Linked DNA regions of Drosophila melanogaster. The gene in region 1 interacts genetically with each later gene. Each region holds a gene or a part of one and is shown in the gene's direction. Other genes may lie near its edges.

Evidence for each region.
Region 2: of pan (region 1) and Ret, changing one suppresses a phenotype caused by changing the other (phenotypic suppression), as found in Drosophila melanogaster (one study listed by BioGRID).
Region 3: of pan (region 1) and Axn, changing one suppresses a phenotype caused by changing the other (phenotypic suppression), as found in Drosophila melanogaster (2 studies listed by BioGRID).
Region 4: of pan (region 1) and arm, changing one suppresses a phenotype caused by changing the other (phenotypic suppression), as found in Drosophila melanogaster (6 studies listed by BioGRID).

Annotation. Positions count from the first base shown.
Region 1 is NC_004353.4:87,434-95,697, forward strand, and holds the start of pan (pangolin), read left to right. Parts: upstream 1-2,921; 5' UTR 2,922-3,780; coding exon 3,781-5,840; intron 5,841-6,989; coding exon 6,990-7,182; intron 7,183-7,403; coding exon 7,404-7,569; intron 7,570-8,264. UniProt on the Drosophila melanogaster protein: Segment polarity protein. Functions together with arm to transduce the Wingless (Wg) signal in embryos and in developing adult tissues.
Region 2 is NT_033779.5:21,194,376-21,202,699, reverse strand, and holds the start of Ret (Ret oncogene), read left to right. Parts: upstream 1-3,937; 5' UTR 3,938-4,047; intron 4,048-7,203; 5' UTR 7,204-7,570; coding exon 7,571-7,637; intron 7,638-8,324. Other genes in the region: CG31988 (uncharacterized protein), read left to right, coding at 448-984; CG31624 (uncharacterized protein), read left to right, coding at 2,763-3,299.
Region 3 is NT_033777.3:30,019,300-30,027,627, forward strand, and holds the start of Axn (axin), read left to right. Parts: upstream 1-3,542; 5' UTR 3,543-4,541; intron 4,542-5,127; 5' UTR 5,128-5,323; intron 5,324-6,166; 5' UTR 6,167-6,240; intron 6,241-6,918; exon of another isoform or gene 6,919-7,573; intron 7,574-8,061; exon of another isoform or gene 8,062-8,277; intron 8,278-8,328. Other genes in the region: Mgat2 (mannosyl (alpha-1,6-)-glycoprotein beta-1,2-N-acetylglucosaminyltransferase), read right to left, coding at 1-32, 90-218, 296-311; RpS28a (ribosomal protein S28a), read right to left, coding at 3,105-3,299.
Region 4 is NC_004354.4:1,894,171-1,902,546, reverse strand, and holds the start of arm (armadillo), read left to right. Parts: upstream 1-1,900; 5' UTR 1,901-2,037; intron 2,038-2,373; exon of another isoform or gene 2,374-2,503; intron 2,504-2,936; exon of another isoform or gene 2,937-3,243; intron 3,244-3,507; 5' UTR 3,508-3,536; coding exon 3,537-3,567; intron 3,568-5,793; coding exon 5,794-7,433; intron 7,434-7,505; coding exon 7,506-7,706; intron 7,707-7,766; coding exon 7,767-8,039; intron 8,040-8,376. Other genes in the region: CG32801 (uncharacterized protein), read left to right, coding at 85-395; Ldaf1 (lipid droplet assembly factor 1), read left to right, coding at 745-834, 933-1,110, 1,270-1,482, 1,534-1,781. UniProt on the Drosophila melanogaster protein: Isoform neural may associate with CadN and participate in the transmission of developmental information. Can associate with alpha-catenin.

The DNA of each region.
Region 1 (8,264 bases):
TTTCTTCAATACATATGCACACATAAGGTACGAATAGACAGACCTCTAACTATATATAAACTCTCTCATTGGTCCTCTCATGGATATAGCGCCTGCGCAGTTAGGACCAACCCCTAAAATGAATTTCGAATTTTATTACCCCTTTCTTTTAAAGTTCTGGCTCTTATAATTTCAAAAATGTACATAAACTTTTGTTACTTAAACTGAACTAGCATAAAAATAATGTTGTTTTAATATACAATTTAAAAATAAAGTACAGTTTTTTTTTTATTATATTATGCTATACATTTTATTTGCCTTCTGAAAACAACTCATCCTAAGCAAGTTACTTTTATACTTTAAGATAAGGCCTTAAAATATAATTTGAGTGAAGCTCTTTCCATCGTTGTTACCTTTGTCTGAAAATGCTTTAAGCAATAAATGTAAATCAAGAGCGAAGTGACATAAATCGGATCATAGTCTTTTAGTTGATTTCGTATTTCATTTACTTACGACATTTACGACATTTTTAAGATTCTGGGCTCAACTACCCAAAATTTTCACTTCTATATTATATTCACTTCTAAAAATGTAATCTTACCTATTTTATTTAAAAAATATTGTTCACACCCAAAGATGAAAAACATTGTAACATTCTCATTTTCGACATACGCTTGCATAGTTTCAATGTGTAGTTCTTAAAATACTACTTAGAATGTTCGATTCCAACTTGATCGAAACGTTAAATCTAAAGTGTGTGTGCATGTCTCTCCTACTAAATCTTAACTTTAATCATCTCGCTTTTATTTCATTCAACTGCTTAAGCTTACTTTTTAAAAAATACGCAAGTTTCGTAGGAAAAGATCGACTACAGTTTTTAAAAAGGTCAAGCTACGGAATATTCTATATGTGCTGATAAAGGTTGTTTTTACTGTTTTTTGGCACGGTTTCTTTACCTAGTTTGTATACAATTTTGAAATTATTAAATATTATTAATATTAATTTTTTAAAAACATCCATAACGGTTTTAAACCTCTGTCGTCAGCCTTTTTTAAACTTTGAGTACATAACACATATTTGTAAAATTTGTTGAGATATATTTTCTGAAAATGTAACATTTGTTTGTATCCTTGCAAAAATTATATCCTAAATATAAAATATATATAAATATATATGTTAATTTCAACAAAAAGTGTAACTATTATGATTTCGAAACCTAACATTTCTAGGTTTGTTAGTTCCCGGAACTACTCTGCTAGTGATCAGGAACATGTATTCTATATATATATACTAAATATATATATAGTAAATATATATATATAGTAAATATATATATACTAAATATATATGTACTAAATATATATATATATATACTAAATATATCTATTCTAAATGTATATATATACTAAATATATATACTAAGAGAATATATATCGTAAAGGCTTCCATCTAGCTGTTGCATACTTCTATTTTAATTGTTGTTTACTATAAAAGCTAGTAGGTTGATATTCACCGTACAGATCCTAGAGACCAAGACGCAGCGCCACATTGTTGACTCATGTTGCCACGCCCACAAGCCGCACAAAACTTCCACGCCCACACTTTTGAAAAACGTGTTGATATTTTTTTTATTTTATTTAGATTTATTAGTCTTGTAAATTTCTATCGATTTTCAATTTTTGTCACGCTCACTTTAACGCTCTAAAGCCGCCGAACCAGTCACTCCCACGCCTTGGAACAATTTTAAAATTTTTTTTCATTTTACTCCTCAATATCTATTGACATCCCAGAAAAATTATGAAATTTCACATTCACACTAGCTGAGTAACGGGTACCTGATAGTCGGGGAACTCGATTATAGCATTCTCTCTTGCTTTTTTCTTAGGTCGAGTCACTGGACTTTAGAGGCCTTTTTTAAAATGCATGGATTTAAAATGTATTAAAGTAGGTTTTTTATTTGTCTAAAAAACTTCTTTGTGAAAAGCGAAAAATATTTATATATATATATACAAATATATTTTTTGTTGACAACCGAAAATAAACTTTCTTCGAAGACATATTAATACTAACGAACATAATTATGAGCAAGTAAACAGTTGAATTGGCCAATTAAGATTAGTGATAAGAAGTTTTACACATCTTTAATTTAGAATCAACCGATTTTTTCAACCGTTTTCAGTGAATAAATAAATTTCTAATATATATCCTCGAAAAATGTAATTTTCAAGTACTAATTTATAAAAAATATTTTGATAATATTTTTTAAATCAAAATGTTAAATTATTTGCTTTAAGTTAAGGTGGTCTAGAAAATTTAAATTTAACTCAAGCTTAATATAATATTGTTTAGTTTACTGTATTCCGTTGTTGAAGCCCATACATATATATATAAATATATATATTCGTAGATATGATTTGAAATTACATGGCGCCATCTATATCTGAAGGCACTTGAGTTTTGCACGTGTTATGTTGCCAGGTAAAATCCAAAAAATTTAACATACATACACAAAATATGAATAAAATTAAAAAATGGGTTACTTTTAATCTGGAATTACGTATAGAAAAAATGTAAATTAAAGTCAAATTTGAAAAGAGTCGTACCAACATTGGATGCTATGAATATTTTCATGTAAAATATTTGTAAAAATACATCATTTTGCGATTTTACTTGTAAAAATGTAAATTTACGCAGCAGTAAAATTCACATTACACAGAAGTACATATTTTTAAAATACAGATTAAACAACTTTATTATTTCTTAAGAATGAATTAAGAATGAAAAAAAAAACAAATTTAATAGTATCTATTACTTTTTTTTTACAAATTCGTTACAAACATGTGCTCGATACAAAGTTTGTGCGCAATGTTTCTCACGCAGTTATTTTCGAGCCGATGGCTCGTCCTTGTCTCTCTTGTTCCGCGTCGTACACCTTTATCGTTAAGTTTTATTTTTAAAGACCGAAAGAGAGTAAATCAGACAATTGTTGTGGCAGTATATACAATTTTGCGAAAAATCTATCTAAAGGAATCAATGCCTAAAAATAGTTGAACAATTTCCGGAAAGAACAATTTATGAACACAAATGAAAAAAATAATCTTTATTCGATTTGTCCATTAGAACACAAGTAGAATAATAACACGAAGTGTATGATGAAATCGAGTGTTTACATATAAAGTGTATTTATAAATTAAATATAAGTTTTAAAAATAGGATGTCATCTTTTGTTTCCATAATAATACTAATATAGTGTTGATCGATTTAGTAATATAAATATGTCGGAATAAATGGAGATAGTATATAAACCGATTATTGACCATATTAACAGTGAACTAAATAAGTAAAACAATTGTGGCTTCCTCTAACACAATGTGGAAATTACAATTAACAAACAAATAAAACAAAAAAAAATTACGACCTCATATTGCAACAGTCGAGCAACAGGGTAACGTTAATTAAAATGAGATTTCTATATAATTAAAAAAATGAAAACAACGCATGGATTCTGGATTATAACATAAATATTACGCTATCTAAATCTCATTAATATTGCAAGAAAATTTTATAAACAACGAACCCTGTATGAAATGTTGAAAAGTTGTACAATGGTGCTTGAAAAAGTACTAATTTAATTAAATTTGAGTCATCAAGGTGAACTAAGATTCTAAAGGTTAATAGAAATGTTTAAAATTTTGAAATACAATTTATCCAATAAATAATATAAATAAAATATAAAACAAAAAGTTAACGAATGACTAACACCGAACGGATTTTAACAGCAGGCTCCCACAAAATCCGATAATGCCACACTGTGGAACAACTAATAGTGAAATTAATTTAAACTCAAACGAATTAATCAGTTACCAGAAAAAGAAGAGCAATGAGGATCTACAAAAAAAGCACGATAAAAAATGTTCAATCAATTTGAAAACGAGCCAGGTCCCTGATGGTGGGTTCAATAACCAATATACGCAATTAACTGCCAACAAAATAGAACAATATAACTGCAATGATTTGGATAAAGTTTGTATTGTACCATCAAGTAGATCAGACGGAATGGAGGCATCGTTTTCCGAACTTCTTTTAAGTCCGAATAAATTAATTTCTCAGCCTTGGCAAACCGCTGAAGAAATAGAAAATTGGCAAAATGACAGTTTTCGCCAACGAAATGAAATGTTTTCTTGTATATATACGAATAGTATGCTAAATCAGCAGCCATGCTCGCAGCAGCAGCTTTTGGCCACACAACTTTTATACGCTCGGCTTCTTCGGTCTCAGCTAGCTGAACGGGAATTTCATTCGAATAAATTCAACATGGTTCATTATTCGGGATCTAAAAAGACCATGCTTCGAGAAGATGAGCTTCTGTCAACCCCATCTTCGCAGGATAATAATAACAATATTAAGTTAATTAAAGATATCGAAAACAGCATAAGTTGTGTAGATCCCCCTTTGTTTGAATTTTCTAACGTTCATCAAAGAGCAGAACAAAAAAATAAACAAGACGACAAAAATTGTTACTCACCAAAATTAAAATCGAACAAGGAAGCCCTAGATGGGTACGACTTACAACACACGTGTGATTTTATCAGGGAGCAAAAAAACATTCTTATCGACATTAAAAAAAAACTAGATAATCTCTCAGATAGCTCAGGTAAATTTAGGAAAAGGTTAAGTGTACGTCAAAGTCACATTGAAGTAAATAATGGCTCTAATTCAGCCCTTGAGGAAAGTGTAAGACGACAACTAAATGGAAATCGCAAGTCTATTGAAAACTTACTGGAAGAGGTAAAACGATTATATAATCAATGGAGCAGCGCTGAGCTCTATTATGTTCGCAGCTTACAACGATTAGGACTCCCATCAGAGGAAGATGGTGAATATACATCTACACCAACACATACTATCATGGCATTAGCTGCTATAGCACTGTCTAATGAAAGTATTTTGCCACAGAAAACAAATGCAGTGCACTCTAAGATTCCAGATGTTGAAAGTGAGTCCGATTTTTTTTTGACCTCAGCAAAACCTAAAACGTTGGTCGAAATAGAAGATATAATATTACAACTCGCATCATCTGTTAATATGCATCAATCCAGCTCTGCTAGCACCCCTCATGAATCCTACAGTGATAGTGTTAAAAGCGATTGCGAAGAATCAAATTCAGCACCCACTTGCATATGGCATTCGACAAGGCAAACCTTTCGCCACAAAAAAGACGTAGAGCCTTGTAGCACTGCAGCTGAGATTATTTTAGAATATGCTTCATTGTCTTCATCTTCTAACATTGAAACCTCTCGCTTGCTTACATCTGCATCAAATTTAACAGATGTTACAGAAAATTATAATGTCACAACGCAATTGCCTATTGTGTTTAATTACAATCGAGAAAGTTCAGCTGAGTCAATCGTTACCGATCCTCTACTTGTTCCTGAGTTTTCTACTGCACCTTCAACCCCATCGACTGGTAGTAATAGTGGATGCTCTACTGGAATGGTTTCTGGAATTTTCGGGCTAAGTCAAAACCGAAGAAAACAAAGACTTGCAAGGCACATTGAAACTCTGACTACAAATTCTTTTAAATCGAATGCAATAAGGGGAAATGTTGACAACGAAATCACTAATCAGCTGAAAACGTCGCCATCAATTAGAGCATTGCCAACTGAAAATGTTTCCCATTTAATTACTAAGACATTGTCTTCGGCTAATGCATCTTTAACAGCGCAGGAACTTTCCATAACTAACCTGTTTAAAGAGCGCCTATGCGCTTTACAGGGAAATGCCGGATCAATGAAAACTGAAATTTTTCCAATGATAGATGCCCCATACGACTTAAGTATTGGAAGCAAGACAAAACACATGTAATTTTATTTCGCCTTACTTGGTTAAACCCTTTATTTCTTTGTAAAACTGTTGAAGTCGATGCTCACTCCTAATAGTACCTATTTTCTTTAATGAACTGTTGATTATTGCAAGCAGCCTGTAGTTGTAAATTATACAAAAAATGTTGTAAGTTATAATAAATTGGTTTCGAGTTTTTAAAGTTTTTTTTTTGTTTTATTTAAAACATTTTTTTCTGTTTATGTGGAATGTTCAATGTGTAGTCTTTTGATTTTTCCCGCTCTACAATACTTATACGCTTATATTTGAAAGGTTTTGATAACTGCCAATTTATTTAAAAAGTGATATATATATTTAAATATATGTATATATTTTATATTTTTGTTGCATAGTATTTAACAGTCTGGAGGAAGCGTTTCCAAAGTATATAAGAACCGTCTTGTGCAGGATTGAATCAGAGTCTATATAACCATTTCCGTTTGTCCGTCTTTCTTTCCGTATGAACGTATATATTATCGAGCGGAAAATAAATGGTCTTACTAAATTCAGTGAAGAGCATATTTGTATCAGGATCACGTATGAATGTCGCGAATTTCACTTACTCTAACGACCGAAACCCTTTTAATTTTTTCTCATCCCAGAGTGCAATAAATTTAACCGCCAAGTAGGAGTAGTGGTTAACCTTCAACCTTCCCCGCACTTTTAAGCTGAGTTACGAATAACAGATTGTATTCTGTTCATTAAAAAAAATGCCATTATACAATAGCATATGCAAGCTTTTCCAAACCATTGTTAGAAAGCGATACTTTTCCCTTTATGTTAGCTGAACTACTAAACGAAGATTGTATATTTTTACAAGTGTATACTTCCGCATGTCTTCTCAGCATTCTTGGAAATAAGTGTCAACGTAGTTTTTTCAGAAACAAAGGTATTTAAAGTGAGTGTTGAGTTATCGTGGGTAGTTAAAAGCATGTAAAGATTTAGTAACTTATAACATATACATTTTTGTAAAAAATAAAAGTTTTATACCATGTTTAACGGATTAAAGTAAACCATGTGTTATTAACTACCAAGCAAAGCACTTTTAAAATATTGATTAAAAACGCATTGTTTAGTTTTATAACACAGGGAAGAATGAATTACAATTATCATTTTGTTTTATCTTTTAGGAACCTGGAAGCAAAGCACACATCAAATGCGCAATCAAATGAATCCAAGGAGACAACAAATGATAAAAAAAAACCCCATATTAAGAAGCCACTAAATGCGTTCATGCTCTATATGAAGGAAATGCGTGCTAAGGTTGTTGCTGAATGCACTCTGAAGGAATCGGCTGCGATTAATCAGATTTTAGGAAGACGGGTAAGATATTTAAAAAAATTTTTATTTTGTATTTGTTAGGTTAGATTCCAATTCTTTCCGATTAGAAAAGTTGTGGGGATTGTAAAATTACCCTTTTCGAGAGGACGACAAATATTTAATATTAAAATCATAACAGGGTAGAAATTTACGATGTTTAGATAAAGTATAGAAAATATCAATCGTACTTCTAATGGATTAACTTATTAATAATACTTTTGTAGTGGCACGAACTTTCCCGCGAAGAACAAAGCAAATATTACGAAAAAGCTCGACAAGAGCGCCAATTGCATATGGAATTGTATCCGGGGTGGAGCGCACGAGATAACTATGGTTACGTGTCAAAAAAGAAAAAGCGAAAAAAAGACAGATCGACAACGGATTCGGGAGGTATTGCACAAAATTTTCAAAATATTACTCTTCTCTTCTTTTTATTGCATTTCACTTTTATATTATTTCATTTAATCACTAACATACAAAACGTAAAGCACACATCTAACATAAACAACTAATCTATTAAAACTAGAAAAACAGTAAATTAAAAATACGTATTTGTAATTTGTGTACATACATAAAACATTAAAATGGTAAGGTTCACAACTAAAAAGAGTACACAAATAGTTCTCCACTTTGAAGTTATAAACTTTAATTTGTAGAATTAAAGATAACTTCGTTGTGTTTAATCATAGTTAGTCACTGTAAAATAGCTTGTAATCTTAAAATCATATAAATCGGCATTTAGTCAATTTGAATTAAACTTAGTTAAACATTTAGTTAAGTTTTGACGCAATAAAAATATCGGAAGTTTCTTGAGTGTGGGCTTTCTTACATTGCTAAACAATGTTTATACGCATCGCTTATTAAACTGATATTATATTTTTGTTAAAATGTTTAAATTGAGTTTTAGCTTAAGGGATGATAATATTAATCGATAAAGATTAGGTTTTTAGTATGACAAAATATATATAAGGACACAAACCACAAACACAATCAACAAATTAACTAATGGATAGTGTTTATTTGAAAAATTGATTACATATAACCAAAGGAAAAAGAGTTTTAACTTTGGTTTTAGTTATTTTTTT
Region 2 (8,324 bases), on another chromosome or scaffold:
ACGTTTTCATTCGTTTCGTTTTCTATAGTTATTTGAATAAAAACATCAAAATTTTTCAAAAAAAAAAAAAAACAGTATCAAAATTTTGTCCAAGTCCGTATTGCTTCTTTTTGTTCTCCCATTTTGTGTGAACCATCTAGAAGAAAGTAAAGTAAAAACGGTGGCCCTGTGAAAATTGTTTTGATATATGAGAAGAGTACGATAACGAATTCAGAAAAAAACATTGCGAAAAGAAAGAGGAAGTAGTGAAACAGGCGCCAAACCCAGTAAGAAATACATCCCATCTTGAAATTAGTACAGAATTATAATTTCTCTCATTGATATTTGCGTTGCCTATCCAGCTTTCATTGTTTCTTTCAATAAATCGATAATCAATAGCAACCCTGTTTTGTACATGCGTATTAACAAACACATTTTTTTTTTGCAGTTACCAATCGAGAAGCCAAAATGACTGAGAGCATTGTGTGTCACAAGTGCCAGGAGGCCATCACCAAGCGTATGATCACCGCCCTGGGCAAGACGTGGCACCCGGAGCACTTCCTGTGCCACCACTGCGATGAGCAGATCCTGGATGCCACCTTCAATGTTCAGAGCGGAGAACCAGTGTGCAACAAGTGCTTCGTGGAGCGGTACACCTACACCTGTGCCGGCTGCAAGAAGCCGATCCTTGAAAAAACCATCTGCGCCATGGGGGAGAGCTGGCACGAAGATTGCTTTTGCTGCGGCGGTGCCTGCAAAAAGCCGCTCGCCAATCAAACGTTCTATGAGCGCGACGGCAAGCCCTATTGCAAAAAGGATTACGAGGACCTCTTTGCTGCCAGGTGCGCCAAGTGCGAGAAGCCTATAACGGACTCAGCGGTGCTCGCCATGAACGTGAAGTGGCATCGCGATTGCTTCCGGTGCAACAAGTGCGAGAATCCTATAACCTCGCAGACTTTCACCATCGACGGGGACAAGCCCGTGTGCCCCGCCTGCAATTGCTAACATCGTCCCGGATAACCATGGTGCATCCTTGCTCTTCCTCCAAATTGTTCATTTGCTTGCTTACAATAATGTTGAAATAGTTCCCGAAGCTTAGTAAGCCTAGAGGCATGCAAGAAAACAGACTTACACATTTAACACACAAACTTAATACACACACAAACACTAAATAAAAATAAAAAACAAATATGTTAAGTCTCTGTATTGGGGTAGACAGGTATACCCTAAGATTTGCCTTAGTGGTGTTGGTCACCCAAAATAACATTCTGATTACTGTGAGATAAGGTCGAGCAAGCCCTTTCCAATATGTTGCAGCCTTTCGTTAAATAACAAGCTTTTGGCAGCACTTTAAATAATGAATTATTTAATTTTAAAAACAAAAATTGAAGAGCTTTAAAAAATCTTTCCGTTAAGATCGCAGTACAACTGCCTTATCGATTCTTCTCGATATGAAGTGGTGGCCGTCTCTTGGCGTAGTCACGAATCGGTTACGCAGATGTGTAATCTAGATAAATATGGAATTAATACAAAAAAATTAAGAACAAGATAGAATTTTACATACGAGTTCCCCGACTATCAGATAACGGTTACTCAGCTGGTGTGAATGCAAAAGCGAAATTTAATAATTTTTCTGGGATATCGATAGAAAAAAATGAGTAAAAATTGTTTAAAAATGTGGGCGTTACTGTTTTGGGAGTTTTTAAGGTGAAAGGAGTGGCGTGTCCACAGTGCTTTTGGTATACATATAAAAATTGCCAAGACAAACAATAAAACGAAGAAAAATCTAAACATTTTTCAAAAGTGCGTGGCAGTTTTTGGCTTTAGGGCGTTTGAGTGGGCGTGGCAGAAAGTTTTTTTTGGCAAATCGATAGGAATTTCCAAGACTAATAAAAATATCAACAGTTTTCAAAAGTGTAGGCGTAGCAATTTAGTGCGGTTTTAGGGCGTGGCAAAAAGTTATGGAATTATGAAGAAATAATTTTCAAAATTTCTAAAATGTTAGCGTAGCAGTTATGGGCGGTTTTACGGCGTTAGAGTAGACGTGGCAAAAAGTTTTTTTGCAAATTGATAAAAAATGAAATGTAAAAAAATATCAAGACTTTTTTAAAAGTGTGGGAGTGGCCGTTTTTTGCGGCTTGTGGGCGTGGCAGCATGGGCCAACAAACTTGCGCTGCATCGTTGTCTCTAGAATTTGTATGCTGAATCTCATACGAACAGACGGGCATGGCTAGATCGACTCGGCAATTGATCCTGATCAAGAATATATATACTTTGTATGTTCGGAAACGCTTCCTTCTGCCTGTTACATACTTTTTAACGAATCTAGTATACCCTTATTATACCCGTTATTGCTTGTTGTTGTGCTCCCATTTTGTGTGAAACATCTAATAGAAAGTAAAGTAACAACGGTGGCCCTGTGACAACTGTTTTGATATATGAGAACAGTACAATTACGAACTAGGAAAAACACACTGCGAAAAGAGGAAGTAGTGAAACAGGCGACAAACCCAGTAAGAAATACACCCAATCTTAAAATAAGTACAGAATTATAATTTGTCTCATTAATATTTGCGTTGCCCAGTGTTTATCGTTCCATAGCCATCTTCCGTTGTTTCTTTCAATAAAATAATCGATAGCTGCCCTGTTTTGTACATTTTGTATTTTAACCTCAATTTACGATATATACGAGCAATTCAATCAAAAAAGAGTAATTGAACAATCCCTTGGTAATGCGCATTAAAAATCATTTTTTATTAGCAGTTACCAATCGAGAAGCCAAAATGACTGAGAGCATTGTGTGTCACAAGTGCCAGGAGGCCATCACCAAGCGTATGATCACCGCCCTGGGCAAGACGTGGCACCCGGAGCACTTCCTGTGCCACCACTGCGATGAGCAGATCCTGGATGCCACCTTCAATGTTCAGAGCGGAGAACCAGTGTGCAACAAGTGCTTCGTGGAGCGGTACACCTACACCTGTGCCGGCTGCAAGAAGCCGATCCTTGAAAAAACCATCTGCGCCATGGGGGAGAGGTGGCACGAAGCTTGCTTTTGCTGCGGCGGTGCCTGCAAGAAGCCGCTCGCCAGTCAAACGTTCTATGAGCGCGACGGCAAGCCCTATTGCAAACAGGATTACGAGAACCTCTTTGCTGCCAGGTGCGCCAAGTGCGAGAAGCCTATAACGGACTCAGCGGTGCTCGCCATGAACGTGAAGTGGCATCGCAATTGCTTCCAGTGCAACAAATGCGAGAATCCTATAACCTCGCAGACTTTTACCATCGACGGGGACAAGCCCGTGTGCCCCGCCTGCAATTGCTAACATCGTCCCGGACCCATGATCTTACTCCAAATTGTTTAGTTCCTTTCTTACACTAATGTTGAAATAGTTCCCGATGCTTATGAAGCCTAGAGGCATGAAAGAAATCAGACCCACACATTTGACCACACTTAACATTTCGCACACGCACACACTAAATAAAAATAAATATGTAAAGTCTCTGTATTGGGGTGGCCAGGTAAACCCTTTTATCGTTAAGATTTGCCTAAGACCAACAACACCCACAACAACATACTGATTACTGCGAGATAAACTAGAACGCAAGCCCTTTCCCAATTTTGAGTAAATATTTTCCCCAAACCCAGTGAAAAGAAGCTGTCGAGGAAAGTGTGCTTGATATGAGATCATGTTTCCAAGGGTAAATATGCTACCCAGCCTTGGAACATGCACATCTGATTATCTCATAAACGCCATTAGTCGGTGGAATTATGTTGTTTGGAGGAGGGGTATCCCAGCAGTGCAGCGGAAAATGGAAAACTCTGCGAGGGTGTGCTGACGTGCCGTCATCGTGGAAAATTCATACATTCGGGTAAAATACACGAAGCGGCTTCGTTAGTCAAGTTTTCGTTACGATTTTGTGGGCTCTGCGGCTTTGGAGTTGCCGGCTGCCGGTTTCAGTTTCATTTTTCAAACGGAGCTCGTGCAAAGCGGTTCGGTTGGTCTTTAAGCGATTTTCCACAAACCAAAAAGTATTTCCGCGGAAAAGCTGCCCGAAAACGGGAAAAGAGAGGTGGCTAATTAATTACACTGTTGAAACTGTCCCATAAATAATTGCCGTTTGAGTCGAACAATTAAGGAGTCTGTAAAAAGCTGCAGCAGCTGCAAGCCTCCATAAATCGTGTCTATCAAAATCAAGATCGTGGTTTACGTATGTTGCGAACTTTGAAATTTATTTGCGATCTATGGCCAGATTTTCCAGATTCGGATTTTCCAAATGCAGCCAATATCCTCACGTCTAGTGGCACTGACAACTCAATACAGTATATCGTGTAGATTGGCATCAGATAATTGTGATTTAGCCGTGCGTGTTGAAGTGGAATTAGTTTACTCAATTTGCAACTTCAAGTAATTGCAGTTTATTGAGGAAAATATTTTAATATATTAAAGCTGAAGTGGCGGGATAACAGATTAGCTATAAATATATATATATATACATATATGTATGTATGCAAAGACACATCTTTGATAGTAAAACACTAAGTGTGGGTGGTCTGAGCGTTTATTCTAATTGATAATTATTTTAATTAATACAAAAGATATCTAATCTTGTACTTCTACATTTTAAATGCCTGTTAAGGTCTTTCGTGCTTGCGTTTGCTCAGGTGGAGGCAGAGCTTATAAAAATGTTAATCTTACAAATTATAAAATGTGGGATTAATTGGAAAATGTTTTATTTTGATTACCTAGGTGACAGAAAATTAATTGTTAGCATATGCAAATGTCAGTCGCGATGTGAATTTGCATTTTACGAATGTGTCTACAAGCGATCAGGTCTAAAAACTCAATCAATGGGATCAATTAGGGTTTGTAATACTTGCTATTGCTGACTGTGTTGGATCAAAAAGAACATCACGCACACCTTTAAAGCGGCTGTCATTCCAGAACCTTTTTTCGTGGAAATGGAATCCAAGCCAGGCTCTAAGCTTCCAGGCCAAATTTATTGACGCTACTCTGGCATTCTTTTTCAATTCGTAGATGTCTGTGAACGAAAAAATAACTTACAAGCCGATGGCACTGGAAAAGGTCCAAGCCTAAGTCAATAATATCATCGAATTATTCTATTTGGTTTTTATTCACAGCTCATTATACCAATACTCATATATAAAATACCATTTAAAGTTAGGGGAAAGATTGAAAAAGTAGCAATAATTCGATGAAACCAAATGAAGCAACATTTTTTTTTATTGTGTAAGCCATAATATTTTTAAACACGACACATTAAAAAATTTTTTTTTACATTTCTGTATTCATTAAATCTTTGCAATGCAAAATGTTCTTCATTATGATAAAGCAATGCAAAAGGCAAACATTTGATTAAAATTAAGCTCCCAGTACGCATTCTTAGAATCTTTTTTTGTCGCAGTGCAGTTAAAAAACAGTCGGGGCAGTCACTGGCACTGAAGAACCTCCACAGTCGTACTTTGACTCTTGCGGTCGTCGGATGTTTGTAAGTTTGCCGGCTTCGCATAAGTTTTATATGGAAATTGCCATTTTTGGCGTTTCGAGCAACAGGACGGCTATAGACGCACCTTAAAAGTCCACCCGGATCGGCTGGGTCGCGCTTAACCTTTAATGGGGAAACGCCATGGCCCGAGCCTTTGAGAGCCCCTCCAGTTGGCAACCGGTTGGCTTCCAGTGAATGTCTCTGAGTTTCTGTGTGTGTCTGCTGCAAAAGCCTCTTTGTGTCAAGTCGTATGTTATTAGCATCCGCCAACTGAGCTCCCAGTGTGTCAAAAGATTTGAACTTTAAAGTGCTCAGGTGCTGAAGAGGCCCACAGACGAAAAGTAGACAGCAGACACTTGGACTGCCAGTCAGTCAGTCAGTCAGTCAGTTAGTCGGTCTCTCGGTCTTTGAATACACTGCGAATAAAACTGTGATAATCGCACATTTGGCCATGCTATCGGAAACTATCTTTAGAAAATGTGCTTTATTTCAAGCAAATGTGATTGCAATGATTAAGAAAAACGGATAGAAGAGTGTTGTACTAAGTACCAAAATACCGAAATTACTTAAAGCAAATCCCATTTACCAATAAATTGAAATGATCCAAATTCAATGAGTTTCAGCTTCAGTTTACACAGTTTTTCCCATTCGACTTTTCGGCCAGTGTTTGTGAATTGCTTATCACGTTGTTTGACTTTGAGCTCGTTTGAATTATGCGTGCTATCTTCCATTGCCATTCCCCTGGCCAGCGGGTAGTTCACGCCGCAATTGTCTCTTTCGGGTTCTTTTTATCACACCTGCCGTGCACCGCTGGATACCACACATATGCCGTCCATCCATCCGCACTGGAGCGATGTGGAGTGGAGTACCTAGAGTACTCTGTGGGGTATGGAGTAGGTAGAGTACTCGCACGTCCACAAACTTTTTTTGCCTTTTCCTTGACACGTCCTCGTTGAGCGTTGCTTGGTACTTGCATAGAATTAGTTATCGTAACTAGTTCTATTGTTTTTCGTATTCAAAATTCATCAGGGTTTTCGGCAGTTGGTTAGGAAGTTTAGAAATCTTAATAAATTAGCATTACCACTGTATACAAAACTCTGGTAATTTTAAGCCCGAAACTGTCTCAAAAACCATTCAACTTTTTGACTTAAGGCAGCCAGAGCAAATTGTGAAGTAAACCCACATTGTTTGCCCAAATAATTTAATTAAATTATTCCACTTAAAAACCGATTGAGCAAACTGAAAGCCATTCGACATGGAGTGAATCGGCAAAAAGAACAATTAATAATGATAAGAGCAACAAATAGCACGCACCCGAGGCGCTCGACTTTTAAAATTTAGAATTAGAAAAATATAAAACAAAAAACAGAAAGCAACGCCAATAAGCCTCTCACCTGGCGCTGGCCAAAAATAGCAACCGAAGACCATTTAATAACAATATCAATATGCGAAACAAATTCAAAGCTCATTTTGAATTGCAATAATCAGAATTCGTAGACCGCGCGGCTCTTGAGAATTTTGTGCGGAATTAATTGAGTGATAAATTAGATTGCTTAAATGACAAACGGGAGCGTGGGCGCCGCTATCAATAAAAATAATTAGCAGTCATACCCTTTCAGTGGGTACATTGATGTTTACGAAAACTCATTTTGAAATAAAAAAAATTAATTTTCCAAATTGTTATTTTGGTAAACCTAAACCTCTGTTACTTGTTTTCAAAAGCTTACGTTCTGCACCAAAAACGAAAAACTATTAATGTTCGTGGTCTAAATATCCGCAAAACTCATTGTTATTTTTTCATATTTTCTGCTCTGGTTTTCGCACATTAATTGATAAATGCTACTTATCAATTTGTGGCAAAAGTAATTAAGCTTGTGACGGAATCGAACGTGGCTAATTGGATACAGCATTGGAAAAGAATACCATCACAGAGAAAAAAAACACGGAACATAAAAAATCAAACAAATAGCGACAATTTGTAGAGAAAACCCATTAAAAGCGACGTTCACTATGTGTAAATATGTAATGTGCGTCTACGAGTGAGCGAAAATTGCCGACTGATAACTGACTTTTTGAAAAAGTAACCACGATGGAGTCAACTACTATTGTTTTTGTGACTCTGCTCACAATTATAACCCAACGTAAACACTGTGCGGGTAAGTGAGCTACAAACAATTTAAGGATGGCAAAAATGTTAAGCTTTATTACTCAATGTGGTCGATTGGGTGATTTATCGATCCATTTCAATTTGAATTTAGGCAGCTTGGGAAACAAGAATAGTCGAAACAATTAACACCTTTTATAACTGACTACTGTGACAAGGCTTTGCCAAAATGGATTTTTTAACTTGAAACTAGTTAAATGTTTTATTAATTGGGTATTGGAGTCGTCGGTCAATGTATATCAACTTATATGTAGTAAAGCACGTTAACCCCTTTTTCTCCTGTTTCTGTGGCAAATGGGAATCTCGCAAAAGGCAATTACCCTCATTTCCATAGAGTGCCAGTGAACGAATCTCCCAGATAACCTTAACACCAATATATGCACAGTGGGAATGCAACCGAAGATATGATGTTTCCATTAGAGGTGTAATAAAGTGCAATCTCCTTTTATGACTTTTTTAGGTTGTTGTGCTCAAAGACGCACTGCTTAGCTCCTAATTATAGGCCCATTGCGTTCCACGCGACCAGCAAGGCTCTTATTTTTATTCGCCTGGCACAGGTGTGAACTGACGTCTTGACAAGTTGGTAAGCGATATGTGGGCCCGGCCTTTCGCTTTTGACTTTGCAACCAACTGACTGACGCTGATGGACTGGTCTACCGACCAACTCCCTGGGGCCGCT
Region 3 (8,328 bases), on another chromosome or scaffold:
CGCGTCGCCCAGCACATTGTCCCGCGAGTCCACTGCAACAGAAGTAAAGATTTACCTGGTGATGCGAGCTGCTGGCGCCTATTACTTACGATAATTGAAGTTGTTGTACTGGAGCAGACCGAAAATGCCCAGGGCCAGCAGGAACAGACTCCGCATGTAGAAGTTGTTGCGCTTGCGACCCATCGCTCCGGTATTGGGCAGTGGGATCAGAATGCGACCTATTCAATGGCAAACATTTAATGGATTTAGCAAGGCTGGCTTTTCTAAGCCGGAAACTCGATTCAATTACAATTACCCCTCATTTTCGACATCTCGTCGCTCCTCGCTTCCTCGGATTCGAGTAACTGCTGGCTCTTCACTGGGTGAGCGCCTTCATCTCGTCATCTGGAATTAGTTGAGCTATTGATAGTACGTACATTCCTACGATTCGAATGCTTTCATAGATGATAACCTTCTATACAGAAGCATACTACCACAATAAAACTTTCGCTTTGTTTGTGAAGGAATCCAACATAATTTAGAAGTAAGTTTAAGATGGAATATCTTTTATATAGGCTGGCTGTTGGGCTGTTGGGCCCTGTCTCCGATGAGATCAGTTTCTCCAGAGCGGACAATGGAGCTCGGCATGGGAATGCTAATCAGAAGGGTAACGAGTGGGATCCGTGCTTGGGCACTGGGCACTTGGAACTGGGCACTTGAGTTTAATTAGCGTCGGAGGCTCACAGCTCGCCAGATGAATGGCGATGTGTGGACATGGCGGGTCGGAGTGGAGGAGCACATGGACGTCGCGTGGAGGCGAGAGAGCCTGCCGAGTGGGCGGAACGCGTCTGAAATCTCAATTCTGAAATCACAAATCCGCGGCCTCGCGTCAATTGGCGTAAAAATAGATTCGTCGGCGGGCGGCTCAGCGAAATTTCACAAGTGGAACGCCTTTGCCTCGAGGAAGCGCAATTGTGTGGCAGAATCGGGAAAGAACTAGATAATACCCACTATAGCAACTAGCCACTAGTCACTAGAATCATGCAACATCACAGCAAGTTTGCTGTGATGTTTTTGGGGGCGTTTTTGGATGCAATCGCAGTGACCCATTTGGAGCTGTGCTGTAATCATCTTATAGAGTTAAGAGATGATTCCACCAACCATGAGTAACGTGCGAGACTTCTATACAACATAAACGTGCCTGTGTATGTACTTTTTCATATTTACACATATGAAGCGCACTTTATTCTGAGGAGAATAATGAAATTAGCTCATATCAGCGATGTTGTTCAAGGTCGAAACTAAGTAATAAGCTACATACAAGTATGTATCTGTATAAACATTAAAAATTCCCCCGAGCCTTAACTACTCACATGAGGAACCAAAAACGATATTTGAAAATGAGGCACTGCAAATAATATGTATGTAGTTTTTACAGCTTTTCCGCGAAACCTAACTAGTTTGCTTTGGAGTCACGTTGCCGCCAGTTGAAAGCAGTTTCGATTCACAAGTGGACATTCCAGAACCAAGTCACATGCGAAGTTCCCTGGAATGTGCTATTACGAATGAGATGTGATACTATACTGACTGCGAATCCAAGCCAGTGGAAGAGTGGAGTTCCCGATCTCAGGACTCTCACTCCGGCGGAATAGCTAATCACGCCCCTTTGTGCCAGGGGCCACTAATTACCATGTTTCCTGGTAACGTCAATCTGACGCACTTAAGTGCGGAAAATCAATGAACATTAATGACCCGGTCCCTTTATTAATAAATTGTAAGTGGGCCAATTGACTGACGACTGAACGCGACTTTGAAATTCAGGCAATGAAAGGTCTAGGAATAGCAGTACACTGTGCGGAGTTTCGAATACCACTTAGAAAGTGATTTTGAAGTTGGAAAACCGAATGAAATATTCACCATTTAAGCTAGTTTCTATGAATAAATGAGCGCTTGCAGCAACAGATAAAAGTTCATTGACTTTGATTTATTTATGAATGAAATATTCATAATGCATAGGCTTTTTAATTAGAATAATAACATTAAATCGCAGGCAGTAATTTCTTCCGGTGTAGGAACCACCTCTATTCGCAAATGCAAGCACTTTTTTTTTGGGTGTGTCGGGGGGCGGTGGGAGGTGGGCGGTGGCAGGGGGCGTGGAACGAACAGGTATTTTCGGTTTAGTTGTTACGAAATAAGTGGCGAAAATTGACGTGCCGAAAGCGAAGGCAAAAAACCAAAACAAACAAACACGAAAACTCAGGCAAATGCGCCGTACGCTTTGCATTGTTTTTTCGCCCACTTTTTATGGATCGAATTTAACGACAATCTTTGGCCTTTTGTTGCTTTAATTGCCCTAGCTGTCCGCACTCACCTTTGCTGGACTTTTCGCGCAGTGCAGCTGCCTCGAAGGAGCCCAATGCCTGCATTATTTCGCGGTCGCCACTTTCCTTGCGGTCAATCGATTTTTCAGAGCGCCCCGAAAAGTCCAAGTGCAGCAGTGTAACGAATTCGCAGCTTTCGTTCGCTTTTCCGTGCATTTCGGAATTTGCACTAATTGGTAGGATTCCCCGGGGAATCGAATCCGTCACTTTTAATCCTGTTTGCTGTTCTTTTCGCACTCGCTTTTGTTTTTGCAATGCAGGCTCCTGCACTTGCGGTACACACACATACCAGCAGCTGCTACGGCCGCCGCTGCACACACACACACGCACAGCGGGCAAACGGGCATCTCTCTAGCTCTACCCGTCTCGCTTCAACCCACTGCCGCGCGCATTTTCACATTTCCCGCATTTGTTGCTACTTCGCTTGATTTATTCGGCGTTCATCTGGGCGTTCCGTTTTCACTTTCGCCTGGCTGGGGCAACAACAAGCTCGCGATCGAGTATCTCAGCTCGGCCGTCCGCTGCGAACGAGTATCTGAGTAGCTGAGTAACTGAGTATCTGAGCGTGAGTATCTGTATCCGAGTGTCTCGCGGAATCGGAATCAACACAAACAGCTGTTAGGGCTGCGATGGCAAGAATCGATAGCTTAGCGATAGGAAATCGATAGTTTGGGATTTAAAAATTGAACAAACAAAATCGTTTATTAACTTGATTTGGGAAATCAAACAGGTGTAATTCATACATCAGCGCAGTCTCCTGGCCTCGCGTTCAGTTTCCAGCAGCGACAGGATGTCGCCCACGCGAACAGGTCCTTTGACATTCCGAATAATCTGGCGGCTTTGGTCGCCGAGGAACTCCACCCGCACCTGGGTGCACTGCCCTTGGGATCCAGTGCGTCCAAGGATCTCGACCACGCGAGCGTACTGAGGCTTGTCCATGCTGAATACGAAATTCGAGAATTGTTCGACAATAAAAGATTTGAATTTGAAGCTGTGAGTGCTGCTGCCTTTCCAGTCGATGAAAATAGAAAACCTATCTACCCTTCTATCATCCCTGGCGCCACCTGTAGGCCTTGTAGCGCAACATAAGTGCGGACGCGAACCACAAGGTGACCCCAAGTCGAGCTGCCACCTTTCGCAGTGTTGGCAATCCAGTTGGCATCCCCGAGGCGAGCTATCGAACCAGTTCGATTTCGAACCACGCAACTCTAGCATGTAATCGTTCGTCTCGCCGTCTAACATTTGTGTCGAACTACATTTTGTTTTGCCATTCAATAAATCTATTATTTACCACTGAATAAGCGGCGCCACGGAGCCCTAAAAGAGTGTGCGCGTTCCGGAGACTCGGCGCACAGCGGCCCGCAGCGATACGTCCATGAAAATCGAACGGCAACAGCAGCAGCACCCACAACCAGCGGAGGCAACAGCAACAAAATACACAAAATAAAGAAGCAGCAGACGGAAAAGTGCACAAATGGTGCAGAACTGAGTGGAAAGGCCACCGAGCACAGATTTCTCACAGTGCAGGAGCCCGGAGACGCCGAAATGCTCTAGAGGGCGGCGCTTCAGCACGATTTTCTCCCCGCGGAGAGCCCAAAGTTGCCAGCGGACGAGGATGACTGCTCCTGGCGAAGCATTAAGTTAAGAGACATACAGCCATTGTTTACAGCAGGCAGCTCAGACACCGGGATAGGATAGGATAGGATATGCCCTCGGGCCAGCCCACTTGAGTTGAGGAGAGCAGAGGAGAGGATCGGGATCCGTGCGCGAGGAGAGGATCTGCAGCCTTGTTTAGCATTTAGTCCGGTCATCGTGCCAGCGCCTTGTTAACCACACTCTCTTGTTTACGTTTGCTTGTTTGTTGAACTCCACAAATCGTCCTTCCATTAATTGTTAGTCACGCGTCCCTCTCGTTGAGCACACTAATCAAAATGAAAGCATCCTCGTCGATATCGAAATTGAAGTTGAAATTGAAATCGAAATTGAAAGCTAAGTTGCAATTGAAATCGAAGCGTCCAGCCGTTAAAGCTACAATCAAATTACACCCGTCCAAACCCACCTCGTCATCGCCATTGCCATCGTCACCGCCATCGAAGATTGGAGCCAGGGCCGTCAGGACTGCGCCAGGATCAGTCGTCTGCCATCCCAATTGAGTGAAGCCGAGGATACACGAATCTAAGGGTGAGTACTGCTCTTGGAATTCCCATGCACAATCCATAACTAATGCTATTACTTTCTTACGCAGTTTGTGGATTATTGGATTTGCACAACTTACTTAAGGACTAATATTAATACTTTAAGAAAGGCACAACATAAGTCTGATTAATGATCTAGTTGTATCAAGGGAAATGATTGGAATTAGACAATTTATTCACGTCTAACTAATATCTCAAATATTAATAGTAATTTGAATGATCCTTTGTAAGAAATGTGAGCATATATTTTGCAATAATAGTAACTTTATGAAATGTATATTTCATTAAATCGAAGGATGATACCTGATCATTGAAAAAGTCATTTAGAACGCCATGCAAATTCTAATCATCCAACTAAAATATTGCTCAATTAATTAGTTTGCAGCACATTTAATTTATTTCTGAGGTGTATGTGCCAATGGGATCCCATAGAAACTGTATATATCTTTTAACTTCATTAACAAATCAATTAATTAACAAAACAGTAAAACATAATTATATTATCATCCTGCATTCATATCCATAATATACAATGTTACCTATTTAACAATTTACACATCCTCTTCTTTCAGGTACTGAATGTACTGCATCAACTGTAATATAAGCTACGTAAATAGGAATTTATGCGAATAAGAGTAATTAAGTGAAGCGTGTAGTTAAACATTTCTACAAACCGGACATAAAAAGATTCAACCATCTTAAAGGACTTGCAGCGCTATGGATTGATATGTTCTCAAGCGTTGGCCATTTCTCACTTGAGTTTAATCGGTTAGTGTTCTATCACCCTTTATATTCAAAGCATTCTTTAGATTTATTTAGGCGTTTATTGGATGCACCCGTGCGCGAAATATTTTCTCCCCCACAAATCCAATATGTATGGCTTATTGAAAAAAAGGAGGCACTTGGGTGGTTGCTACTGATTGATTTAAAGTTCGCTGTGTTGAAAACTAATTCGATTTGGGCTCTGAAATGTAAATTTATTTAAGCTGAGCCAAAAATAATATTTATACAATTTTATCTCTATTAAAATACCTTCCAATTTTATCTTTGATGCAATATTTATGACTGGCATATAAAAAAGTTTTTTTGTTTAATTTATTTATGGTATTTGTATTATGTTTTGGTTTGAATGATTATTTATGAGATGCACGAGACTAAAGATTTTTCTTAAAATTATTTTCATTGTTTTGGACTTACTTTCTTGGCGAACAAAAATATACCCAATGGCCAAATCTCTTTTCTCCCAATTGATAATTGATAATATCCTTATGTATAAAGCTTGCCTATTATATATACATATTTTATATACATTTATTTATATATATGTATATTTAAAACAGAGTAAAAGTGTTCATAATTTTTTTAACTATCCCATAATGCTTGGTAAGGCTAGAAACATTAGTCTTCAGATAAAACTTTAACTTTAACATATAACATAAATTTATACCAAATGGATAACAATGGCTCTAATCTTTTTTTTTTCCAAACTCTTAACTATATGTTTACAACCTTAGTCTTTCGAACAAATATTTTAGTATTATATATTGTCTTAGCTTATTTCAAAATGATTTCAATTGATCTAATCTTTTCTTCATTTCACTATTCTTTCAGGAACAACTGGAACCATTCGGAATACCAATATCTTCCCCTGATTTCATGTTGAATTTTTTATGCAAATTACATATGTGAGTATACAACTTATTTTTACTTTGTCAATGGTTTTGAAGTTTAAGACAACTACGATTGCATGCGAGAATCTCAGAAATATAAACTAGTATGAAAAACTGATTTACATTGATATACTTAGGTCCTTTTCCATTTCTCGAAACCTAATAATCATGACATCCTGAAGGGTTTTAATAAATCCTTTTTAATTGGTTATTATTCGGAAACTACCTTTTCACTCAATTGAAAAATCCTCTTAGTGCAATAAGGATACCATGATTTCACTATTGTTTATTGGGCTGCAGCACTCTGATTAAGGAATTGAATAAGTTTCCGTTGTCTCGGAGAGGAGCAACAGTTGACCGCGCCCAAGTGCATCCTTCGGGTCCTTCGGTGTCCTTGTAATGGGCGTTGCACCTGAAAAGTAGGCGCTTCCGCGCTGAACTTTTCCGCCTGTGCTGGCAACTTTTGCCGCGCACAAAGTGCCACTATTGACCTTCGGCAATACTCGCAGCCGCAGTGAGTAGTGCCCGTGTTTCCCCCAGTTTGCCGGGCCAGACCATGCCGGCGTGGAGTCTAGACCGCCATCAGACGCCGTTCATCGGGCGGTTGGTTGAGCAATGGCGGTCTTAACCTCATTAGAAACAAACGAGGCTGCCGCCGGTCGCTCCTCCCTTCGTATTGTTTTCAAACTTATTCGAAAATAATTTCCACATTTGTGTTTAGGGGAGGAATCGGACTCCGGAGGTGGGTCTTCCATCTCAACCCTTGCCCCACCCCTCGGCTTTCAGGAAGGACTACAATGCGAACCCAACTCCGCTGCTCTGTTTATGTACAATAAGAACGGGCGGGCGTCTGGTCCTTCCTTTGCCTTGCCACTCTGGCAGTGGGCCAGGATTTGGTCTGGGCTTGGGCAGCAGGGCATAGAATGGGGGGACCAGGGTCTGGGGACTCAATCTGGACCTGCGCATATTGGTTGCACACAATGACTCCTATTCGCCTGCTGCCGTCTCGCTTGCTCCGCCGCAACCACGGACACTCTGAAAAGAACATCCTTTGTGTGCTGTTGTACAATGTACATGGAGCATCATCATGTTGGAGGTCGTCCCAGCACCGCCACTCGCACTCCTGCTCCTCCGCAGGGCAGTCCATCAACAGCTGGTCGGGATATTCAAGGGGCAGTAGTCCTCCACTAAGAAAAAATCCTCGAAATGGTTGTATTCGTTCTTAAAACACAAACATGTATAGTGAGTTTCAGAATCAAAGTGCAGTCCAGTACAGAAAGCTTAAGTTTGTTTGAGGGTCTCAGATTGTTCAATTGCTCGTAAATAAACTATTTTTAAGTGATAAAGCAACTTTTAAGCTGTATACATTCGTAACTAGCTTACCAAAAAGTAAGCCATTGTTCGTTTTTCAGTTTTACAAGTTGCGATATAGATACAATCTGGCTTATAGAACTCAAGAGCTCTAATCGTTGATTGATAATGGTGAAGTAAGAATATTTACAATTTGTATATTCCAGTATCGTGTTGAATTGATTACAACCCACTTTCTCAATCCCAAATAGTTAGGTATTGAAGTACTAGATTTTTCCCTGAGTGTCGATGTGCTCACCGATTAAGTTCGATTTCCGTACATAAACGACGTAAGCGCCATACTCGCTGTCCGCATGCAACAATTGTGAATGGAAGAGGCTGTGGGTGGGTGCGCACGATGATGAGGATCAAGCGGAGGATGCGGCAGTGGAGGACTGGCCAGGAAGCGCAACCCCGAAATGGTTTATGTACTCTGGCTGCTCGGCATGGGCGCACATACGTGGCTGGCAGGGTGAAATCTGCCATCGCTGTCAACGCTGGAGGAGGATTCGGATTCATAATCGCAGCTCGGGACGCGGGCACTCGTTCAGTTTGACTTTCCGCTTGTCAAGGCATTGTCACCGAATCCCTGTGCTCCGTGGCTCGTGGCGAGATTTGTCAACAATTAGTGGCGATAGTAATCCGAAAAGTCGCGCGGATCCGAAGTGAGCAACCTGTCGCGGCATTGTGGATGCATCAAAGGTGATTTAGTGTCATGCGTTGGGCCGCAGCATACCTGCGGTATTGAGATCC
Region 4 (8,376 bases), on another chromosome or scaffold:
AAATAAAACTTTAATCATTGAAAGTTTTACAATAGTTTACAAAATTGTTCACTACTGCTAATAATATCTTCTCCTGCCTTCCAGTTCATCCGCTAACACGGAAGTTCTACGCCCAGTATGAGCAACGCCAGCCGACGGATACCTTGAGGTACCTACGGCACACTTGGCCTGAGAAGCATGTGGAGCGTCAGAGGCAGCTCGGAAAAGCTGTTCCGCTCCTGGAGTCGCAGGTGTACGGCTGGTTGCCGCTCAAAAGTGGAGAGCGAGCCGCCGATCTGAACTTTCTGCATGCCAAGAAGGTGCGCTGCGGCATGACTGTTCACGGGGAGCGCTTGGTGGCGGAGAGGATTACGGCGCGTCCTCCGTTTAACGGACTCAGATTCCTGCTTCACTAATCCTACGGCGAAGAAATGTCGCACGCTGACCGCCATTATAAATTTATAATTTTTTTTTTAACATAGTGTTAATTTTTTTTTTGTAAACAAATTAATTATGATTAAAAAGCAAAACTAAGCCACGCTAGATCATTATTAAGAAACGCATCTTGTCTAATTCAAATTTAGTAAAAAAAAAGGTGGCAGCTCTCCCTCGATGATTTAGTTTCAGGGCTACGACGTCGATTATTTTTTGTTTATTTATATTGTTTTCATTTACTGTTGCTTCAAGCAGGCGAATGAACCTGGAACAGACTCCTCCTGTAATGCGCACAGCAACCGCCTGAGATTCTCGCAGTAGCCACGCAACATGGTGGGTACGGGTGTGAGTGAAGTGGGTGTTCCGGCATCTTCGGAAGAATCCGTAGATTTCGGCTGGAATCGGCATCGCAAGTCAAAGGTCGCGTTTCACGGACTCAGTGGCAGCCGGCATCTAATCACTTGGGTTCTTTGACTCACATAATATTCATAACTGATTTGATTTGATCGACTCTGCAGGCTCACTCGAACAAGGCTCGCAAAGCAGCCAAAGAGGCAAACGCCAAGAAGTCTGCGGGATCGGGAACAGAGAGCAAACCGGAGCACGTAAAGATACATGGCCCAGGCGATCGTAGTGCAGGAGTTCTGACTGGCGACCAGTTCCTGGAGAGCTTGCTCCAGACTCTCTACAGGTCATGTATGTCCACTAGTTGAAGTACTATCTGTAAAAGCGCTTAATTGCTTACTGCCACAATTAGTTACTTATATATGTACTACTCTGTACGGTTGTTAACCTGTTTTATGCATCACACCGCGTAACAAAAGTTGCCTTTGTTATAACGTTGCCATATTGCAGGGCTTCAAATCTGCCGCCTGGCAGATTTTGTGATGTCCGAGCTAGGTGGAAATGATTTCCTGGAGGCCACCGCGGCCTGGTGCACCCGGAATCCGCACGTTGCTATCTGCCTGCTAGCTGGTGGTCTTGTATTCATGCTGCCCTTCCTTATAATATTTGGGTTTGGAATAGCCACCATGGTTATGACCTTTACAGGTTTGCTGGTGCTAGAAGGTGCGTTCCGTAGTGTTTACCAGAGATCACGTTCTTATCGACTCGTTTTAGGCACACTCCTGACCATTGTGTCCATGGTGTTCTTCGCCTGCCTGGGAGGACTAGTCATAATGGTACCTCTCTTCGGTGTCGCCGCTGTTGCTGCCTATTTCGGATTTGCCCAGGTGTATGGCCTATGTGATGGAATAGAGATCCATAAGAGCGCGTGGGTCATGTTCTTTAGGGATCAACGGAAGGCCGGCGATCCGCCGCCAGCTGCTGTGACCATAACCGATGAACCCACTTCTACGACTGCATAAACCAATATTGCTTGCCCAACTTAAATATGTATTAAGAAATTAAAGACCAGTGTTTGAATACTTTTGGAAATTTAAAAAGTGCGCTTTCTATTTTGAAGCAAGTTGGCAGCCACCTGCGATAGAGGAGTTATCGGTTATCTGTTCTGCGCTCATATACACAGTTTTCATAGTCGGGGATTTTTGTCGAATTTAAATATCTAAGTGCGTCAAAAGTGCGTTAACCTGCCTTTGAGCAGATAAATTTACTTTCGAAGCGGTAAGTAATAGTAAAGTCATAGATATTTCTTTAATTCGTCGCCCAAAAACAATAGTTTTTGGTCGTACCTGTGTTGTCATACACCCTCATGTACACTCAGGTGCTTGTGTTGGTAAATGTTTATACAAGATAAACGGTGAGTTCGAGATAACATGATAACATGAACTAGAAATAAATTCGCCTTAGCTAAATTATAAATATTGTGAATTGAGTTTCTTAAGGATGAAATGCTATACAAATTTCGTGAGATTTTTGTGTTCTCAGAACAAAAAAAATTTGAAAAATTCCTTTGGCCTATCGCACAGGGCCCATCGAGTTATCGGGACAGCAGCAGGCCATCGCTAGTTGGGTTTCGTCGCCATATACACAGTTTTTCTCGAGCAGACAATTCGCTGTTATTTTGTTTCTTATAGCGTTTTAAATAAATAAATCCTGCTCTAAAGCAGACTTAAATTCCTTGGACGCGGTGAGTACTGTTAGTCGGTAGTGAATCCGTTTGGAAAGCCAAAGTTTCTGTGTGCCATGAAAGTTGGAAAGCCATGGCAAACAAGTCGGCGCGGGGGTGGGCAGGGGTTCGCTGGATGTGCGCCTGTGTATGTGTGTGTGTATGATCTGGATACACACAAACGGCATTTTTATGTATTCCTCCCCCGTAAATCGGGCGCTTGTTTTGTTGCTCGCTGGAATGTAAACAATGCCACAGACAGGAAATCGTTTTCTTCGAATCTAGAGGCAGGCTTATCGTTAGGTGTTTTATCTAATCGACAACTGAAATGGAGTTGGGATTCTTTCTGAGCTGCCTACGCGAGTATGTGTGTGTAGGCACAATCGTTTGGATGTGTGGCAACTCTGCGCAGCACTGCATTTGTATGCTGCACTGCCGCGGCCCTTTACTTTCTCTCCCAGTCTCTTTCCCTGTCCCTTTCCCGCACTCCGCACGCGCGGTGTTGCAAGTGCCTTGCTTTGCTTGCGCTCTCCGCATCTGGATTCTGTTCCGTTTAAACGAGCGTGCTGGTCGGTCGCATTTTCCGCTGCGCCTTTTTCGAGAGAAGTGAAAAATCCATTTTGTTTTTTGTTGGAGTGCATGAGATTTGAAAGAGTGCTAAACAAAGTAATTAAATAACTCAAGGTTCGTGGCCAAAGTCTTCGGCAGGTAGACACACACATACCCACAAATACCCGTTCTACCTGCGTAAGAATGTATTAGTGCGTTTGTTTGTATACGCAGCATATTTCATATTATGCTTCGGCATCTCAAAGCGGAAATGAGTTAAAAAAAAAGACCAACGACTAGAATAAGTGACTAACGGACGATATCTGCGTCTGTTGGCAGTCTGCAAACACAACAAGCCCTTCTTTCCGGGGCCCCCATTTAGTGGAGTTCCGTGGTCTCCATCCGAAGCACACACGAACTCCATGTTATTGACTGTCCAGCACATTACTCATATACTCTCCGTCTCTTTCTTGCAGGTGTGGTGTAAAGCGCCTCAATCACCAAGATGAGTTACATGCCAGCCCAGAATCGAACCAGTAAGTATTTCCAGCAGCGGTACTCTTCCCTTTCCCATCTTCCAGGGAGTATGCAAAGAGCATCAAAGTTAACTGTGTATCAGAGTGTTCCACTTTGGGCTTTTGTATACCCAGTCCAAATGCAGTTGTATACAGGATCCGATTTCATCAAATTAGAGATGATATTGCGTTTCAATGGACGCAATTAAGTCATGGTAGCTCTAGAGTTTAGAACATTTAGGATAAATAGTCAGAATACATGGCCCTATGAAGGGGATGCAACAGCGCATTGTATCTGTGAAACAATTATCCCCGTATCGCAATACAATAACAACCCCTCTCCAACGTTAAATGAGGGAGCGATGCTTGTTTTTGACAAATTTGGCAAATTTGACATAAAGTATTTGCTTTTGTCATTTGTTTCTGATATTCCCTTTGTGGGTTGTCTGCAGAATACAGGGTAACAACTATATCCATCCACCCCAGACAAATAATTTGTGTACATCTACATACTTGTAATGCTTGATGATCTTTTTTTTGTTGGGCCATCAACCACCAGCGGCCTGTGCTTATATCCGATTCATCAAAAAAAAAAGCGCTCCCTTCTACTTCGGAGTTTGAAATTTACACTTTTCCGCTGACGCAGTAAACGGAGTAGGAAAGAAGATTTCTTTTTGACACTTGATTTGCAGAGCGCGTTGGTGAGGCTCTCAGAGGCGCAGGAGAGGACTTCACCAAAGGGGAGGAGCTCGTTAATGCATGTTGGCTTCATTGAACTCCCATCACTTTTGCCACAGAAAGTCGAGGAATGTCAATATCTAGGACGACAGTAGTGAACAGTTCATAGCCATTTAGGAAGTGGCCTTTTAATTCGACCACTATTAAGTATTTAGTTTAGTTTTCAACTAATTGCTGTACAACCCCGAAACCCCCTTGAGTAGGCCGCTGCTCACTATCCTTTGAAACTCCATTCCCTCCCCATGCTATCCACTTACGCACACACACATTCAAGGACTCGTGTACTTGCACGTGGCACTCCAACCCACGCCACCCTTTTGCCATCGCTCCTTGGTCTTCTCCGGGGACCTTGTTCTCGTACCCCGTCTCCCGAACTCGCAGTCGAGTTGGCTGCACATTTTTCTTGGCTTCTGCCTTTGCTTTTTTCTGGCGCTGCTGCTGTGCAGAATTTAATTAGTAAGCGGCAACATGCAATTAAAGGCTCCGCCCGCGCCCTCCATCCCAACACAGTACTCCATTCAAGTGCGTGGCCCACTCGACGGATATGGCGAAGAAAAAACGCTTAATCGATTTGGGAAATGAAACGAAAAGCGATTACAGTATTACAGTCGCATGTGCTTATAGCGAACAAAATTCATCAGCTGTGGGCTAAACCATTTTGTTGAACTCAGAGACCACATTTGGAGACCTGGTCCATAGGTTACCAGCATGTTTCAATGCTGCTTTTTATGGAGTCATTTATATTCAGCACCGTGTTCGATCTATTGAGATTTGACTGTAGTATTGCAGAGTGGATGGCGAAGAGCAGTGAAGTTTGTAATTACGAATGCATACAGAAGGGGCGTGGCCGTGCTGTGTCCGCGCATAAGTAAAACAACAAAGGCAAAAAGCTGGGCCTGGAACGGCATAATTAAGACTGAAGTGGCAAACAAAACGCCCACAAATCCTTTTGCCAGTACCCTCTCATGTGTGAGCATCTGACCCCCTGCACCAAACCCATTCCGCCCAGCGCCCTGAACTTTCTGGGAATATCCTGCAGCGTTCAATTTGTCACGCTTCAAAGTTTTCCTTTTGCATTTTTTGCGCCGGCTGTTGGGATGCTGCTCACTTTGCTGTCAGTCGCTGTCGTTTCCCATTTGGCCATCTTTTAACGAAAGCGCATGCAAATGGGTTGCAGAGGGTTAAAGCGTGTGCATCCCCGCACCCGAATTCGTTGCATTATATGTAGATGGTGGGCTGCACTCAGTATTCCGTTCTACTCTGTCGTTTTTCCACTTCAAAAGGTTTTAAAAAAGAAAAGTTACCATGAATGTGTAGACAGATGTTAACAAGTTAAAGAAGAGCATACAAAAATTATTCTTACACTTCATTTCTGCTTCTTTGGGGTCTTATAACACGATTAAGTTGCAATGGAAATGATCGAAACACATCGGTGATTCGAGTTAGAAAAGTTGGAGTGTATATTTTTGTCAATTCACTCTAAAACGTTTTGCAATCAATCTTTTGCAGTGTCGCATAATAATCAATACAATCCACCTGATCTGCCGCCGATGGTATCCGCCAAGGAGCAGACCCTCATGTGGCAGCAGAATTCGTACTTGGGCGACTCCGGCATCCACTCGGGTGCCGTGACCCAGGTTCCATCGCTGTCTGGCAAGGAGGACGAGGAGATGGAGGGAGATCCACTTATGTTCGACCTGGACACCGGTTTCCCGCAGAATTTCACACAAGACCAAGTGGACGATATGAACCAGCAACTGAGCCAGACACGCTCCCAACGTGTACGTGCTGCCATGTTTCCGGAAACCCTGGAGGAGGGCATTGAGATTCCCTCCACCCAGTTTGATCCCCAACAGCCGACGGCAGTGCAACGTCTTTCGGAACCGTCACAAATGCTAAAGCACGCGGTGGTCAATCTGATCAACTACCAGGACGACGCTGAGCTGGCAACCAGGGCCATACCCGAGTTGATCAAGCTGCTGAACGATGAGGATCAGGTGGTAGTTTCCCAGGCCGCCATGATGGTCCACCAGCTGTCTAAGAAGGAGGCCTCGCGACATGCCATTATGAACAGCCCTCAGATGGTAGCCGCTTTGGTGCGTGCCATCTCTAACAGCAACGATCTGGAGAGCACCAAGGCAGCGGTAGGAACACTGCACAACTTATCACACCATCGCCAGGGTCTGCTGGCCATCTTCAAGAGTGGCGGCATCCCGGCACTCGTCAAGTTGCTCTCCTCGCCAGTGGAGAGTGTGCTGTTCTATGCAATTACCACTCTGCACAATTTGCTGCTCCACCAGGATGGCTCTAAGATGGCTGTGCGCCTGGCCGGCGGGCTTCAGAAGATGGTTACTCTGCTGCAACGAAACAACGTTAAGTTTCTGGCTATCGTCACAGATTGCTTGCAAATTCTGGCCTATGGTAACCAGGAGAGCAAGTTAATAATTCTTGCCTCCGGAGGGCCCAACGAACTCGTGCGCATTATGCGCTCCTACGACTACGAGAAGCTTCTGTGGACCACTTCGCGGGTACTGAAAGTGCTCTCCGTTTGCTCCAGCAACAAGCCGGCCATCGTGGATGCCGGTGGAATGCAGGCGCTGGCTATGCACTTGGGTAACATGTCACCGCGCCTTGTGCAAAACTGTTTGTGGACGCTCCGCAATCTTTCGGATGCAGCCACTAAGGTGGAGGGCCTTGAAGCTTTGCTCCAATCTCTCGTCCAGGTTCTGGGCTCGACCGATGTCAACGTGGTCACCTGTGCCGCCGGTATCCTTTCAAATCTGACGTGCAACAATCAGCGCAACAAGGCCACCGTTTGTCAGGTGGGCGGTGTGGACGCCCTCGTCCGTACTATTATCAATGCTGGAGATCGCGAAGAGATTACCGAGCCGGCTGTATGTGCCCTGCGTCACTTGACCTCGCGTCATGTGGACTCTGAGTTGGCCCAGAATGCCGTACGCTTAAACTACGGACTATCGGTGATTGTAAAGCTATTGCATCCACCATCACGCTGGCCCTTGATCAAGGCCGTCATTGGACTCATACGCAATTTGGCCCTCTGTCCGGCCAATCACGCCCCGTTGCGGGAGCACGGGGCCATCCACCATCTGGTGCGACTGCTTATGCGCGCCTTCCAAGACACAGAGAGGGTGAGTTAGTTATAGTGGAAGCATAAGTTGGAGAGAATAATTATGACGTCAATTATACTTGCAACCTTGCAGCAACGTTCCTCGATAGCCACCACTGGTTCACAGCAGCCGTCCGCATACGCTGACGGCGTTCGCATGGAGGAGATTGTCGAGGGCACGGTGGGGGCGCTACATATCCTGGCCCGCGAGTCTCACAACCGGGCACTCATTCGCCAGCAGTCGGTAATACCGATCTTTGTACGATTGCTGTTCAACGAAATCGAGAACATACAGGTGAGATCGAAGTTTATCTTGTTGTGACTCAAGTATACTATGAATATTTTCTTACTTTAGCGCGTGGCTGCTGGCGTTCTTTGTGAGCTCGCCGCTGACAAGGAGGGCGCCGAGATTATCGAGCAGGAGGGCGCCACTGGGCCGCTGACCGATCTCCTGCACTCGCGCAATGAAGGCGTGGCCACATACGCCGCCGCTGTTCTCTTTCGCATGAGTGAGGACAAGCCGCAGGATTACAAGAAGCGGCTATCCATAGAGCTGACCAACTCGCTGCTGCGCGAGGACAACAACATATGGGCCAATGCCGACCTGGGCATGGGTCCCGATCTACAGGTGCGTGCTAAGTAGGCTAAGCAAATTCGACGTCCCCGGGATTCCGGCTTTTTAAACGCCCTTCTTGTGTTCCATTGAATCTGATTTAAAAATGCAGCGCGTTAAGCGAAATCTGTACATAAAATTGTAAATTTGTAGAGAACCTACTTTAGTCAAGCATTATATAATGGTATCCAGATTAAGTATCGACCTATATATCGCTTGCTTACGATTTCGATAACCTATTTTTGAATTTCCATTTCATTTGGGTTCATTTCGTTCGGTTTTTTGCTTTTCTTGTAAACCACCAATCGATAGACCGTATATGTTAGTCGATAAGTAGGTAGTTGTAGATGAA